2 linked regions of the Elephas maximus indicus genome follow. The protein of the gene in region 2 interacts with the protein of the main gene of each other region in a biochemical or structural test. Links are inferred from orthologs where the notes say so. Each region holds a gene or a part of one and is shown on either strand. Other genes may lie near its edges.

What was found. The genes of interacting proteins can lie anywhere in the genome.
Region 1: the proteins of TOPBP1 (region 2) and RAD9A form a complex in vitro, tested with the Homo sapiens proteins (4 studies listed by BioGRID). The link is inferred for Elephas maximus indicus from reciprocal best matches to the Homo sapiens genes TOPBP1 and RAD9A.

Annotation. Positions count from the first base shown.
Region 1 is NC_064825.1:130,422,676-130,430,240, forward strand, and holds the start of RAD9A (cell cycle checkpoint control protein RAD9A), read left to right. Parts: upstream 1-4,372; 5' UTR 4,373-4,474; coding exon 4,475-4,508; intron 4,509-4,579; coding exon 4,580-4,650; intron 4,651-4,656; exon of another isoform or gene 4,657-4,778; intron 4,779-5,467; coding exon 5,468-5,596; intron 5,597-5,911; coding exon 5,912-6,026; intron 6,027-6,111; coding exon 6,112-6,211; intron 6,212-7,529; coding exon 7,530-7,565. UniProt on the Homo sapiens protein: Component of the 9-1-1 cell-cycle checkpoint response complex that plays a major role in DNA repair. The 9-1-1 complex is recruited to DNA lesion upon damage by the RAD17-replication factor C (RFC) clamp loader complex.
Region 2 is NC_064844.1:46,132,886-46,141,105, forward strand, and holds the start of TOPBP1 (DNA topoisomerase 2-binding protein 1), read left to right. Parts: upstream 1-5,015; 5' UTR 5,016-5,198; intron 5,199-5,261; exon of another isoform or gene 5,262-6,061; intron 6,062-6,177; exon of another isoform or gene 6,178-6,182; 5' UTR 6,183-6,184; coding exon 6,185-6,268; intron 6,269-8,220. UniProt on the Homo sapiens protein: Scaffold protein that acts as a key protein-protein adapter in DNA replication and DNA repair. Composed of multiple BRCT domains, which specifically recognize and bind phosphorylated proteins, bringing proteins together into functional combinations.

The DNA.
Region 1 (7,565 bases), on a different chromosome or scaffold from region 2:
GAACCAACTCGAGGGCACCTAACAACAACAACAACAACATACATTTATTTGTGTCTTTGGTTGTCTTTCTTTCTCCACTCAGTAGAAGCCACTTGAGAGCAGGATTTTCTATTCTGTACTCTATTTCCTGTGCTTAGAAAAGTGCACGAAACACGCATGGAATGAATGAATTACTGAGTTCCAACGTCCCCATCGGGAACACTGGTGGCATAGTGGTTAAGGGCTACGGCTGCTAACCAAAAGGTCGGCAGTTCAAATCCACCAGGCATTCCTTGGAAACTCTATGGGGCAGTTTCTACTCTATCCAATAGGGTCTCTATGAGTCAGAATCGACTCGACGGCAGTGGGGTTTGTTGTTGTTAACATCCCCAGCAGTGGTGATTGCTGTGACTTCAAACCTAACTAGTTGGGCGGTGGCTTTAAGAAGTGGTGGTTGAAGGGAAGAAATTTCCCAACAGATAATTACTTTAAAAGCTTGAAATAGTAACTACTGTCACCTTCCTCCATTAGTGTCTACCACGGCTCCCCCCTCCCACTTACCTACTGATAGGTGGCCACCTCTAACGTAGGGGTGGCAAAGAGTATACAAACTTTGGGTTTTAAAGAGTCCTAAGAGAGCATCTCATGCAGCCCTTCATTTTGAGGAAACTGAGGCCCAGAGTAGGGCTGGAGCTCCCACCCACAGGCTTCCCGTCTTCCAGTGCAGACCCGACATCCACTTTGGGTCCCTATACCCGTCCCCTGCCCAGCCCTCCCCTTGCTCTCAAAGGGGCCCTGGTCGCTCCATGTCTCTCATCCCTCTCTGTGCCCTCCTCCCTCTGGACCTGCAATGCTTCATTGCCTCTGGCAAGTGCAAGCCTAGAGAGGCTCCGTAGCCTTCCAGCACGGGAGAGGACTGTTCCACATTCCCCCCTTTTGATCAGGATCCAGCTGTTGAGTCCTTGATCAAAATGTTCAGTAACGGTAGCCAGGCACCATTCACTTCTCCTGGTCTCATGGTAACAGAGGTAGTAGTTGATGGAGACAGTTAAACCTGCAGTCCATTTCCTTTTCCTATTCCTGAATCTCCTTTCTTTTCTGTTGTTTCAGGCAAATAGGGACCGATTGTGGTATTCTGGGTGGCTGCTTACAAGCTTTTAAGACCCTAGGTGCTACTCACCAAATTAGGAGGTGGAACAGAAACTCTGAAAACAATGTTAGGCCAATTGACTGGATGGACCCACAAAGCCACCACCCGAAACTTTTGAACCAAGAGAATTAATGAAGTTTTTCATTGTACCTAAGTAGTATCAACAGGAAGGAACCCTCAGCAAGGTTAAGCACTTGGCTGCTAACCGAAACGTCAGCAGTTTGAACCCACCAGCTGCTCCGTGTGAGAAAGATGTGTAGCCCGCTTCTGTAAAGATTTACACCCTTGGAAACCCTATGGGGCAGTTCCACTCTGTCCTACAGGATTGTTAAGTCAGAACCAAGTCTATGGCAGTGGATAGCATCAACAGGCACAGCTCCCCTCCCCCGTTTTGTTTTGGCTGCTGTTGTAGTTATAAATTATATAAAATGCTTTATTTGCCATTTTGCCCCCCCCCCTTCTTTTCCTGTTGTGCAGCTTAATGGTAATAGCTACATTAGTTTGGTGAGACTAGCCAATGGCAGCTCCTCTCCAGTGCTGTGGACAGATGAGGGGCACAGGGAACCTCAGTGTGTCAGGGTTGGAAGGGTCTCCGAGGGCATCTCACCCCGCATCAAACACATCATAAACCTGATGCTGTGGATTCCGACTCACAGTGACCCTCCACGACAGAGTAGAACTGCCCCATAGGGTTTCCGAGGCTGCAGTCTTTACAGAAGCAGACTGCCACATCCTTCTCCCTGGAGAGGCTGTGGGTCTGAACTGCTGACCTTTTGGTTAGTAGCCCAGTGCTTAACCGTTGTGCCAGCAGCGCTCCGTCATCACCTTGACTAGACGAGGGAACAGCTCCAGAGACGGGGAAGGACTTGCACAAAGTCACACAGCAAATCAGCGCTGAAGCCCAGACAGAGACCCAGCCTCCTGGTGCCTAGCTCCATGTCCTTGAGAGCTTTCCAGTGATTCCTGACTTTGGGGGGAGGGTGAATGAAGACTCATTAAAGAGTCCTACAGAGAAGGTAATCAATGCCACTAGATTGTAAATGGAGAAATTGTTGGTGTGTTCAACAACAAAAATTAATTATTTAAAAAAACAGCCCTAGAGAGCTTGTGTTTCTCTCTCCCTTGGGCCTTGATGCAAAACCCCAAGGCCACAGGGCCCTACAGACCCACAGGGGTCAGGGAAATTAACCTGACCATGGGAATATCCACAGCTGTCCCCTCTTTGGCCTTCCAGACAGGAGCACTGGGATGCTCTCCTACTCCAGGTAATAGGTCTTCAGTGGTAACAGGGTGGAGGTGGAGAAGCCCTGAGGCTGTGCCGATTTACCTTAGGGGTGGGGGGAGGGGGTGGTAAGAAAGAGAATAGCTGGTGCTGGGTTTTGTTTTGTTGCTAGAGAGTGGAGATGGGAAGAGAAGAATTAGGCAGGTCAGGTTGGCCTGCTGCTTTTACCCTAGCACCATGCTAAGGGCAACTCACAGGCAGCGCCATTTTATCTGGATGGCATATTCACTAACACCTATTTCCTGACCATCCACTGAGGCCCTGTGTGAGAGACAGGGCAACAGCAATGAACAAAACCGACAAGGTCCCTGCCCTTGTGGAGCTCATGTACTAGTGAGGAAGACAGACGTTAAATAAGTAAACACATGTACAAGACTTGTGATAACTGCTATGACCAAAACACACGTGCAAAGATCCCGAGGGGAAAAGGATGTGGCCCTTTCAGAGAACCAACAGGGCCTGTGGGGCAAGGCAGGGTGACTGAGAGAAAGGCAGGAGATAGGTGGAGAGATGCTGGGCCGGCTCCTACAGGCTGGGTAAGGATTTGGGATCTTACGCTAAGTATAGTAGTTGGCAACCACTGCAGGATCTAAACAGGGAGTGGCATGATTCCATGGACATTTTAGAAAGGTCACTTTAACTGCTGTATGGAGGGTGGATGGGGGCGGGGGACAGTGTGGAGGCAGAAGACCACTCAGCTGTTAACAGCCATCCAGGGAGAGTGGATGGTGGCCCAAACCAGGACGGTGGCAGCAGGGACAGAACCGGGGCAGGGGAGGGGGGCAAATTTGCCATCTGATTGGGAGCTAGGACTGTCAAGACTTGCTGCAGGATTGGCGCATCTGGGAAGAGGGTGGTGTCCACAGGGACTCCGTTTACTGGCCTGTATGCCCAGGTGGAGGTAGTGTCATTGACACTGATCCCCGGGAAGGAGAAAGGGAATTACAATCTCCTGCCCCGTTGCTCTAGGGAGGGGGTGAGGGCTGGTGAGGCAGGGGAGCTGAGGGCAAGGAGAGCGGGTGCAGAAGTGCAGCGCCAGGAGACAAAAGAGCCGCGTCCCTACAGACAGGGCCAAGGGGGGCAAGCACTGGCTGACCCTAAAGGGAAGCAGAAGACCCTTCGAACGGCCAAACTTCGGTGCTGCCGGGAGCTAGAGGTCAGGGCTCCCACCCTGGCCTGCCTTCCACTCCATACACGTGGGACTGAGGTGCAGGGCAAGGGGAGGACCTCCGGCTGATGAACGCCTCCTTTCGCACAATGCTGGGTTTTAAAAAAATAGTCTCAAAACCACGACTCTACCCTCGTCAACCTTTTCCTGTGTTTCCCAGCAGCGGCCTCATCGTCTGGTGGCGCCCCTTCCCTCTCCCCGGTGCCAATCCCCACGCGCTTCGCTCTTGCTCTTCTACCCCTTTGTCAGGAGAATCTTTTCTCTTCCTGAATCAATGAGGTGCCACCCCTTGAAACCAGAATGAGCAGCCACCGCCCACCCCTGGCTCCTGCAGCGCGTCGCGTTAACATCTTTTGAGAGGTGGTGGTTGCTGCGTGTGTCCGAGTCCTCAGCCCATACTGGGTGCGGACGGTCTGCTTTCCACCCAGTATCCCCAGACACGCCCGAAAGTCTGTACTAAATAAGGGCCCCGGCGGGCTCGTCCCCGGGCTCTGGCCTGCGAGCCCGGGGCTCGCTCCACTGCGCCATGCACCTCCCGCCCTGGAGCAGTGTCCCCGCGCTCGTGCGCCCCGCCAAGTGGCCTAGCACCCAACGGCACGGAGGGGCCGGGAGGGCTACAAGGAGCGAGCACCGCAAGCGCCGCCGCGCTCCGGCCCACGTGATAGGGGCCTGCGCCTGAGAACGGCTGCGTCACGTGACGGAGGGGCCGGGAGCGTTTCTCACGTGACGGCGGCGCGCGCTCGCAGGCCAATGAGGCAGCGGGGGCGGGGCCGGCGGGGCGGCGGCTGGAAGGGCGCCCAGGCTTCCGTGGAGGCGGGGGGGCCCCGAGCCGGGCCGGTTGCGGGGGCTCCGCGGGTGGGTTTGCAGGATCAGCCCGGTGCGGTACTGGGGCAGCATGAAGTGTCTGGTGACAGGCGGCAACGTAAAGGGTGAGTCTGGGCGGCGGGGACACGTAGGACAGGCCAAGACACCTACCTAACCCTTCTCTGCTCTCCTGCAGTGCTTGGCAAGGCGGTCCACTCCCTGTCCCGCATCGGAGACGAGCTCTACCTGGAGCCCCTGGAGGACGGGGTGAGGGGCTGGGGCGTGGGGAGGATCCCGCCTCCCCGGGCACGGTGGCCGCGGGTGGGCTTGTCAGCTCTTTCAGTTTCGGCCCCATTGCTGGAGCTCGTCTTGGGCCCTGTCAACCTCCCAGCCTGGTGTGTGAGCGGAGAGCAGCTGCCCTCCCTGGAGTGGCCGGTGACGGGTTGGGGGCGACTTAGCCTTAGAGATAAGCAGGGAGAAAGGCAGAGTGTGGGGACAGCGCTGAAGGTGGGAGCAGGGTCGAGAAAGGGTCAGGGAAGGCTTCCCAAGGAAGGACCCATTGAGACTGTCCTTGAAGGAGAGGGAAGATCTAACAGGTGATGGTGGAGGTGGTAGGTTCCTGGGTGGTGCAAATGGTTTGCGCTTGAGGAGCCCTGGTGGTGCAATGCGTAAGAGCTGGGCTGCTAACTGAAAGGTTGGAAGTTCCAATCCACCAGCAGCTCCTTGGAAACCCTATATGGGGCAGTTCTGCTCTGTGAGTCAGAATCAACTCGATGGCACATAACAACATCACAACAACAATTAATCTAAAGGTTGGCAGTTCAGACCCACCCAGTGGTACCAAGGAAGAAAGGCCTGGCAATCTCCCTCTGTAAAGGTTACAGCCAAGAAAACACTGTAACATATGGGGTTGCCATGAGTTGGCATTGACTCCACAGCAGTAGGTTTGGTTGGTTTGGCGGCGGGGGTGGTGGTGGTGGAGGACATCAGGGCAGTTCTGTAAGCAGAGGCAGGCCATGGGGCCAGCCTGTCACTGCCCCTGACCTTGTCCCCCGTCCCCCTCACCCTGCTTCACCTGGCCCAGCTCTCCCTCCGGACGGTGAACTCTTCCCGCTCTGCCTATGCCTGCTTCCTCTTCGCCCCGCTCTTCTTCCAGCAGTACCAGGCAGCCACCCAAGCCCAGGAACCCGTGCGCTGTAAGATCCTGATGAAGGTGAGGCCCCCTCTTGGTAGGAACCCCCACCTGCAGGGCCTCCACTCTGGGCACTCAGTAGCTGCTAACGGGGTAGAGAAAGGGGCTCAGTAAAGACCTTCTCGGAGAGTAGTGGGGGCATATGGAACAGCAGCAGACTGATGGGGAATCCAAGTGAGCCTGCAGGGTGGGGCCACTCCAGACAGGGCGAACAGCCAGAACCAAGGCCTGGACGCGTGTGAACATACGCACATTGTGGCGGTCCCTGTCCTGGCTGATGGGCTGGGCTGGGGCTCACAAGCTGGAGGCATAGCGCTGGCTTACGTTTCCCCTTAGTCGTTCCTGTCAGTCTTTCGCTCGCTGGCATTGCTGGAGAAGACAGTGGAGAAGTGCTACATCTCCCTGAATGGCAGGAGCAGCCGCCTAGTGGTCCAGCTGCACTGCAAGTATGGTGAGTGGGCAGTGCCGACTCGGGGGCCCTGGGGTGTGGCATGGGGGGTTGAGAAGCCCCCCTGAGACCCTGTCTGCCCACACAGGGGTGAGGAAGATTCACAACCTGTCCTTCCAGGACTGCGAGTCCCTACAGGCCGTCTTCGACCCAGCTTCATGCCCCCATGTGCTCCGTGCCCCGGCCAAGTGAGCACACCCCCTCCCCCTCACCTCGAGCACAGTCCCCCATCTGGATTCTTTGAGAGGCACCTTCTCCATTTCCGTAAAGGGTTTCTGTGGATCCCAGCCCTGTGTGCTCTCCAGCCCTTGTCTGACTCTTCGAAGGTAGGGGCTGAGCAAAGGGGGTGCATGGGTGTCCCTTCCTCCATTTCCTTACTATTTCTACACCCCTGTGTTTTCCACACCTCAGGCCTGACTTGGCTCTCTGGGAGCCTCAGACCTAGCCTGATGTCTCTTCTAGCAGTCACTTTCTCTAGCCTGAGCAGCTGAAGGGCCATCCCTAACCTTGGTGGCTCAGGGTTTCAGCTCCCTGCAGGGCCCAGTCGTACTTTGGGGGTCTTCCCCCTTTCAGCGTGGGCACTGACTATCGCCTGCCCTGGCGCTGGCTCGTGGAGTCCCCAGGCCCAGGCAGAAGGCCAGACGGGGAGGTTGTGGTCCAGGAGAGTGGAGTATTCTGGGCACTGCAGGGTGAGGGAGGTGGGGATGCCAGGGAAGGCAGGGGTCCCTGACAAGTACCACCTCAGAGAGGAGTGGCCCCTGGGCACTGCTTGCATCCAAGTGGCCGAGTTCCCATTCATTCTCTTGGTAGCCTTAGGACATGGTTGTGTGAGGTTCCCTTTGGGTCTGAGAGTCTGTTTCCCTGAGTTCTGTCGAGAGAGCTCCGCTCAGGGCTCCTTTGGATAGAGAAAGGGGGAAGGCCGTCCCTTTTGGTCTGAGTTTTGTGACAATTTAAATCACTCCTTTTAATGAACATTTGTCTTATGGACAGTCTGAAACACGTAAAAAAGTAGAACATAGTATGCTGACTCCTTGTACCATCACCCCCAGCTTGTGTCCCGTTGTTCTGAGGCGGACTCCAGGTGTTATTTCATTTATCACACGTATTGGTCAAAGACAAGAAGTTAGGGAGGGGCTCTTTCTGAAGGCCGGTTGGTTGGGACGGTATGGGTGTGGCTTCCCACCTCCGGACCCCATTCTTCCTTCCCCGCGGGAGAGCCCTCTCCCATCCTGTATGCTGGTGCTGCCCGCCCTGTGTGGGCCTTTGTCTGTCCCGCCGCCCCCCACCCCCCCGACCCCGTCCTGCTTTCAGTGGACTTGGGCTGTGGCAGGGAAGGACCAGGCCTGCTCATCCTGCCCTCTCCTTCCCAGGGTGCTGGCCTGGCCCAGGTGTAGTTCTCCTTAGATGCCAGTGTGTGTGTGTAGCCCCCCGTCCTCTAGTCCTCTGAGAGCAAGGCTGCCGGGCAGGGCTGGCCTGGCCTGGGGATAACACTGCCTGTCCTCACAGGGTCCTGGGGGAGGCTGTTCTGCCATTCCCCCCTGC
Region 2 (8,220 bases):
GTCCTGGACAGAGCTGGAGAAAAATGTAGAACAAAATTCAAACTCACCAAAAAAAAGACTAGATTTACTGGTCTGACAGAGACTGGAGATACCCCAAGAGTATGGCCCCCAAGACACCCTTTTAACTCAGTACTGAAGTCATTCCTAAAGTTCACCCTTTAGCCAAAGATTAGACAATCCCATGAAACAAACAATAATACACATAGCTCAACCATGTATATTAGACTAAATGGGTACACCAACCTAGGGGCAAGGAAGAGAACGCAAGAGAGGTCAGGAAAGCTGGACAATGGAAAAGGGGAACCCAAGGTTGAGAAGGGGAGAATGTTGACACTTTGTGGGGTTGGCAACCAATGTCACAAAACAATATGTATATTAATTGTTTAATGAGAAATTAATTTGCTCTGTAAACCTTCATATAAAGCACATACAAAGACCAGGCTTACTGGTCTGACAACAAAAAAATTATCAAAATGGATGAATAAATGCACAGAACCAAATGTCTCAGAAGGTGGTTGAACAATCTTCTCTTTAGACCTGTGGACAAAAAACAAAGACAGTCCAAAGATGACCATTTCTCTTAAGGTTAATGATTGATCAAAAGCTAACACAGCCCAAATTCAATAAAGCTCAGGGGGCCCTCTGACCCGGAGTAGCACAGACTCTGATAACTTCCTATGCACAAAGTCATATTTCAATGGAAGGACATCCAAAGTCATAATGCCATTGCCTGTTTTGGCACATGCTCTCACAAGTTCCAGAATAGAAGACTGGAGCATTATATTGTGGGGAACAATTAAAGACTCCATGGCAAGGATGGCCTTTGGAAAATTAGGAAATTTTAAATGTATCAAAACCTCGTACCAGGCACTTTGCTAAGTGCTTTGCAAACACTAATTTAGTGACCTCATGAAGGAGACGCTATTATCATCCCCATCGGTTTGGTTCACAGAAGAAAGTAAAGCACACACAGGTTAATTCTTTCAGGCCTAGCAGTATATACAGCAACCATGAACTTTTTCAGCCCCTGGGATTTACTGGGAAGCTGCTGTATCATTGACAGTGTGTGCTGCTGCAAGGCAGGGACCTTTATGACTGTTTGAAACCAAACAAATGGGTGTGTGCTGCAAATTACTGTTTTTACAGGGTATTGTAGAAGGTGCCTGAATTTTTGATAGGAAAAATAGAAATTTTGAAAGTTTTTATTTGTTACATATATGTACCCATAGGTCTGGGTGGGGACTCTGGGGTATAACTAGTGGGACTTCATACGTACCACTGAACACTTAGGGTAGACTTGTGGGAGGGGACAAGAAAAAAAATCCATACTACCTACAAAAATTCAGATACAGTCAATGATTCAGAATGCTTCCATTAATAAAAACACATGGTATCAACAAAAAAATCCAAGCAGAAAATAATTGGGTCACCAAAGGGTTAAACAACTTGCCCAACCTCAGAGAGCTAGTTCATGTTAGAGCTGACATTCAAACCAGGCAGCCTGCTTCCACAGTCCATGTACTTTCCCATGTGGACTCTGGCATTTTTCTCTGGAACATTTTCATACTTTCCTTTCCGAGGGCCCTTATAATAATAAAGACAGATTTTTCAGTCGAAAAATGTTTGTTTAAACTGTTGCCAATTTCAGAATTGGTGAGGGTGATACTAGCTGCAATAACAGTGGCAGCACAGTAGAAGATACTGTCTTGATAACATAAAGCCCAATTGGCAATAGTGGCAATGATTGGTTGAGGTGGGAGACAGGCTCCCCTCCACATCTCAACTCAGTCATTGAGGGATTCAGGCTGAGGGAGACTCTGCCATTTCCAACATGTGGCCTGCTTCCCTGAAAGCAAGCAGTGCCAGGGAGATGAGGGGAAAGTTAACCCTCAAGCCCCAGCTTCTGAGACAGTTGCTTGAGGGCGCATCATAACCAATCCCCATTCTCACAAAAATCTTCATAGTGCATCCAAACGAAACCCAACTCGCTGCCATGGAGTCGATTCTGACAAACAATGACCCTATAGGACAGAGCAGAAGTGCTCCCACAGGGCTTCCAAGGCTGTTAATCTTCACAGAAGCAGACCTGCCACATTTTCCTCTCTCGGGGAGGTTGGTGGGCTCGAACTGCAGACCTTTTGGTTAGCAGCCAAGCACTTTAACCACTGTGTTACTTGGGCTCCTCATGGAGCACAAACCCATATAAATACTTTCATCCTCCCTGAAAGAATGGCTGTTTAAGTAAGCTTTAATGTGCCTCAGAATCACCTGATGGGCTTGTTAAAACAGACTGATGGGTCCCACCCCCCGAGTTCCTGACACAGTAGTTCTAGTGTAAGGCCTAACAATTTGCATTTCTAACAAGTTACTACATGATGATGAAGTTGCTGGTCCAGACCACATTTTGAGAACCACCACTCTTATCTATTGCCCAAGATTAGGGGCTTCAGGGACAGATAAAGACCCTCTCTGCCCATTCCTTTAGTAATGCCTTAGTGTTACAGTTAACCGCTCTGCTATGTTGGAAGTAAGAGTCCAGACTGGCATGGCGACATACTTCTGAACATCAGCCATTGAAAATGCTATAGAGCACAGTTCTCTGACATAGTTGGGGTCACCATGAGTCAGAATAAACTCGAGGACAACTGGGTGTTTTTATTTGTTTTTTTTGTAAAGCTAAAAGGCATTTTGTTTTCCTTTTCTTCATTAAAGCCATTGAGCCGTTGTTGTCGAGTCATTTCTGAATCATAGTGACTCTACAGGATAGAGTAGAACTGCCCCATAGAGTTTCTAAGGAGCACCTGCTGGATTCGAACTGCTGACCTTTTGGTTAGCAGCCATCACACTTAACCACCTTGTCACCAGGGTTTCCTCTTCTTCATTAGCAGCATGTTATTAGTGAATCTCCTCTGTGAGGCCTGCACTCAGCCCCATACGCACCAGGAACGGGGGCTCCTGCCCTGCTGGTGACCTTCATGCTGAGTGAGCAGGCAGCATGTAGCCAGAAGCAGTGTGCAGTGTCCAGCCACTCTGCTTGTTCTCCAGCCTACTTCCTGGCTGTGCGGCCCTAGGCTAGCCACACAGTCTCTGAGCCTCAATTTCCCCATCTACATAACACGGGACAATAATACCCACATACTTAAACTATGGCGAGCTTACTGCTGCTAACCAAAAGGTTGGCAGTTTGAATCTACCAGCCACTCCTTGGAAACCTTATGGAGCAGTTCTGGTCTGTCTCATAGGGTCACTATGAGTCAATGGCAGCTAGTTTGGTTTTCTGGAGTCTAACCTTGGAAACTCTATGGGGCAGTTCTACTCTGTCCCATAGGGTCGCTATGAGTCGGAATCAACTCAATGGCACTGGGTTGGGTATAGGACGAAGGAGCTCTTAACCCCTGCGCCACCAGAGCTCAGCCACTAACCCAAAAATAGGCAGTTTGAACCCATCAGCCACTCTGCAGGATAAAGATGACAGTCTGTTTCTTAAAGATTACAGCCTTGGAAATCCTATGGTACAGTTCTACTCTGCCTATAGGTTGTGTGATTTGGAATTGACTCCACAGCAGTGAGTTCGGACTATAGGATGCCTGAGAAGAGGAAATGAGGATAGTGCAAGTAGGAGAGGAGTCCTCTGTCAAGTGTAAAGTACTTGCCACATATTAATTATCATGACAGCTTCATGACAGGTTTGCACTGGAACAATTAGCAGTGGCTTCTGTTTTTCCTCCAGCTTTAGTAATATTTGTTTTGCTTTTTAGTAATTTTTGTTTTTAAGGCTTTGGTCACCCTCTCCCCAACAATGGTCTTTGAGGCCCAATGCTACTGGTCCTGACTCACCTTCTGCTGGTATATTCATACACTTAGACCCAAGCTCCTCATTGCCATCTTTAGGCTCTAAAAAGAAAAATATAACCAAGGTAGATGAAATGAAACTCTCACATTACTTTATTCTAAGTCAAGATCTTCTCAGTCTCAACAATCAAGGATAAAATAAAAAGAACGAACTAAGTAGTTTATCACTGATTTTCAACCAGCTAAGATTCTCCAAAAGCCTTGTGGCTCAGTGGTTAAAGCACTGTACTGCTAACCGAAAGGACAGCAGTTCAAACCCACCAGCAACTCCCCTGGAGGAAAGACTTACAATTTGCTCCCATAAAGATTGCAGCCAAAGAAACCCTATGGGGCAGTTCTATTCTGTCCAACAGGGTCACCATGGGTCAGAAACGACTCAACAGCAGTGGGTTTGGTTTTGGTTTTGAGATAAAGCAGGCCCATTTTAATCCCGTCCGTACTGTTTGCCATTTGAACGTTAGTTTTCATCCCCAAAACTCAGGCAAGTGCAGAGAACGAAAGTGAGATGCCCTTCGAAGGGGAGCAGGGACCACTGAAAATCTTTGCAAAGAGCCCTCTGCGTTAGCTGTGCGACCCAAGTCATCCTGACATCTTTCCTCCCTTCAGAGCCCCAGGCTGTGATAGGCGGTGATTTACATTCCTGCTCTTTTGGAGGGAAAAGACCTGGAGTCACAAAGACGGGGATTCAGTCTTTATCTTACCACTTAATACGCTACCTAGGATACACCACTTCTTTAAGACTCAGTTCTTCCATCTGTATGATGGACATACCACTATCTGCCTCACAGAGCTGTTCTGGATGATAATGTATCGTTTCTAGAGCACTGCCAGGCACAAGGTGCTCCTCGTCGCCATCCAGGGAATTCCGGCTCATGGAGACAGGGGAAAGCCTCCTTCCCTCGGGTTTTACTTTCACCACTAAAGGAACACTACTGGCCTGGAGCCCCGCGCCCTGGATCGTCAGGGGTCCGCTAGCTCCCAGGGGAGCCCAGGCCAGCCCTGAAAGTCCCAAACCCCTGGGGATCCGCCCCAATCTCTTAAAGAACTCCCCATCCCACGGCTCGAGGGCCAAACAGCCGGCCCAGCCCACCTAGGCGTTTGCATCGCCCGCCCCTCTGCGTGATGAGGCGGCATCACTTCCGCCGGAAGAGGCGAGGGGCCCGCGCCGTTGGCGCGAAAGTCGGTTCCCGTCCTCGGCCACTTCCGGGTTGTCCTGCGATTCCCCCGGGCTGGGGGCGCCGCCGGCTGGGGCGGGTCTGCGCCGGGCTGGCGCCCGACCCCCGCCGTCGTCCTGCCGGCCGCGCGCCCCCCAACTCGCCAGCCGGAGGCTCCCGGGCTCCACCAAGGTGAGTGAGTCGCGGGATGAAGACCCGGTTCTTTCTCCGCCCCAACTAGGGGCCGCAGCGCCGCCGCTGGCCTGCCTTCCGGGCCCTGGCTTCCCGCCCTTCCAACCGGCCCTCCGACCGGCGGGCGGGCCTCTGCGGCCGGAGGGGACGAGCCTGTGCGGCCGGACCCACGGCCGGGCCTGTCCCTGGGGACCGGGAGGCGGGGAGAGGCGGCCCTCTGCTCTGCGGCCGGACCCACGGCCGGGCCTGTCGTTGGGGACCGGGAGGCGGGGAGAGGCGGCCCTCTGCTCTGCGGCCGGACCCACGGCCGGGCCTGTCGTTGGGGACCGGGAGGCGGGGAGAGGCGGCCCTCTGCTCTGCGGCCGGACCCACGGCCGGGCCTGTCGTTGGGGACCGGGAGGCGGGGAGAGGCGGCCCTCTGCTCTGCGGCCGGACCCACGGCCGGGCCTGTTGTTGGGGACCGGGAGGCGGGGAGAGGCGGCCCTCTGCTTTGCGGCCGAACCCACGGCCGGGCCTGTCGTTGGGGACCGGGAGGCGGGGAGAGGCGGCCCTTTGCGGGGCACGACCTCGCTAGCTGGCTTCCGTGTTTACGTTTAAAATCCGTTTGCTGAGAGGTGGACAGTCCTCGAGGGCCGTGGATTCCGCAGGCACAGAAGTGCTTATCCTTAGGCACCGGGCAATTGAACGTCCATTTGCCGATGTGACTTACCGTAAAGCCCCCGGTGCAGGGGCCCTCATGGCCTTCAATTTAGGGACATTAGCTTCCGTCTCTGATTTGTACGGTTTGATGTTGTCATCCTTGTCTTGGATTTTGCTGACATTCTAGCATTTCTTACAAACGTGCAGGACGAGTTCATGTTAAGGTCAGAATGCCTATCCTTAGACATTCTTGCCTGCACAGAAAAATGGGTGCTTTAAAATTTTAACTAAATATATGTGGTATGTTTTTTTCTCGTTAATGATCCTTTTATTTTGACAGTTCAGACATGTCCGGAAATGACAAAGAACCGTTCTTTGTGAAGTTTTTAAAGTCTCCAGACAATTCTGAATGTTTTTTCAAAGCCCTGGAGGTAAGAATAGTTGAAAATGTGGTTTGATGCTGTAAGTTCGTTTTCTTCTTTTTAGTGTTTTTTAAAATTAGGCTTTTTATGTCTTAGCCATAGATACTTTATCTTCATAATGGTTTTACATTAATATAGATATAGCATCATTACATGTTTTTGAATTGTTTTAAGTATGTATGTTATTATTGTGTATTTGGGGTCTTTGAAACACATAACATTTCTGTTGGATGTGGCTGACCTGCAGTTCTTGGAAATTAAGTTGCTTTCTTTTGTTTACTAACCACAGTGGTTCTTTGTGTGTGAATAAATTTGAGTCATTTGTGTACTGATCACACATCAGCACTTGTTTGGTTAAGTGTTAAAAGTATGTTTCATTATGTGCGGTATAATATGGAGGGTCCAGGTACAGTGGTTAAGAGTTCGGCTCCTAACCAGAAGGTTGGCAGTTCACATCTACCAGCTACTCCTTGAAAACCCTATGGGACAGTTGTGCTGTGTCCTGTAGGGTTATTATGAGTCAGAATTGACAGCAATGGGTTTGGGTTTTGTTTTGTTTTTTTTTTTAAGAGGTGGTGTAGAGCCTTGCTACTCACAGACCTCAACAACATCAGTATGGCTTGGGAGTTTGTTAGAAAATGTATATTCTCAGGGCCTGTCTTAAAGTTACCAATTAGGATCTGCATTTTAACAAGATCCCCAGTGTGATTCTTGTGCACATTAAAATTTCAGGAGTATTGTAGCAGGTTTTTCCTTAAAGTTCATTCATCAAATATTTATTGAGTGCTCATGATCTGATTGGAAACCCTGGTGGCGTAGTGGTTCAGTGCTACAGCTGCTAACCAAAGGGTCGGCAGTTCGAATCTGCCAGGCGCTCCTTGGAAACTCTGTGGGGCAGTTCTACTCTGTCCTATAGGGTCGCTATGAGTCGGAATCGACTTGACGGCACTGGGTTTTTTTTTTGGTTCATGATCTGATAGGTACTTGGGATACATGTATCAGTTACCTGAGCAGACAAAGAGCCCTGCTTTTTCAGAGCTTACGTTCTAGCAGGGGGAAATAGACTTTAATCAGTAAACTCATATGAATAAACTATATAGTGTGCTATAAGGTTCTCAGTGATATGGGAAGAGAAAAAAGCACAGCATGTTAAGGGGTTCTGGAGGATGTTGCCAGGAGGAAGGGGAGGTTACAGTTTTAAATAGAGTAAGATCAGGGTAGGCTTTGTGGAGAAGATGATATTTGAGTAAACTTGAAGGAGGTGATATTTGAGTAAACTTGAAGGAGCCACTGGGCTCTCTGGGGAAGAAGGTTCCAGGCAGATGGAATAACCAGTTCACAGGCCCATGGGAAAGTCCGTGGATTGTCTGTCCAAGGACTAGCGAGAAAGTTAGTGTAGAGTGTACAAGGAGTGTGGGAGAGTATGAAAGGATACTTCAGAAAGTAAGGGTGAAGAAATCATTTAGGGTCTTATGGGTTATTGTAAGGACTTTGGTTTTTGCCTCTAAGTGAAGTACAGAGCCAGTGGTGGGTTTTAATAAAGGAGTTTTTGATCTGACATTGCTTTAAAAGGATCACTTTAAGGACATACAAAAAAATCAAACCCATTGCTGTTGAGTCTATTCCGACTCATAGTGACCCTATAGGACAGAGTAGAACTGCCCCATAGGATTTCCAGGGAGTGGCTGGTGGATTCCAACCGCTGGCCTTTTGGTTAGCAGCCAGGGTTGTAACTGCTGTGCTGCCAGGGCTCCTTAAGGACATAGAGACTTCAAAATTCAGGACATAGACATTTCAGAATTTGTTCATGAAATATTTGAGTATTTACTAGGTTCCAGGATAAAGTGGCAAACAAGATAGATCATGAAACTTTTGTTCTTATAGGGGAGACACTATGAATATATATACATATGAATGTAAATATACACATGCATCTGTAAACACACATATATATACATATA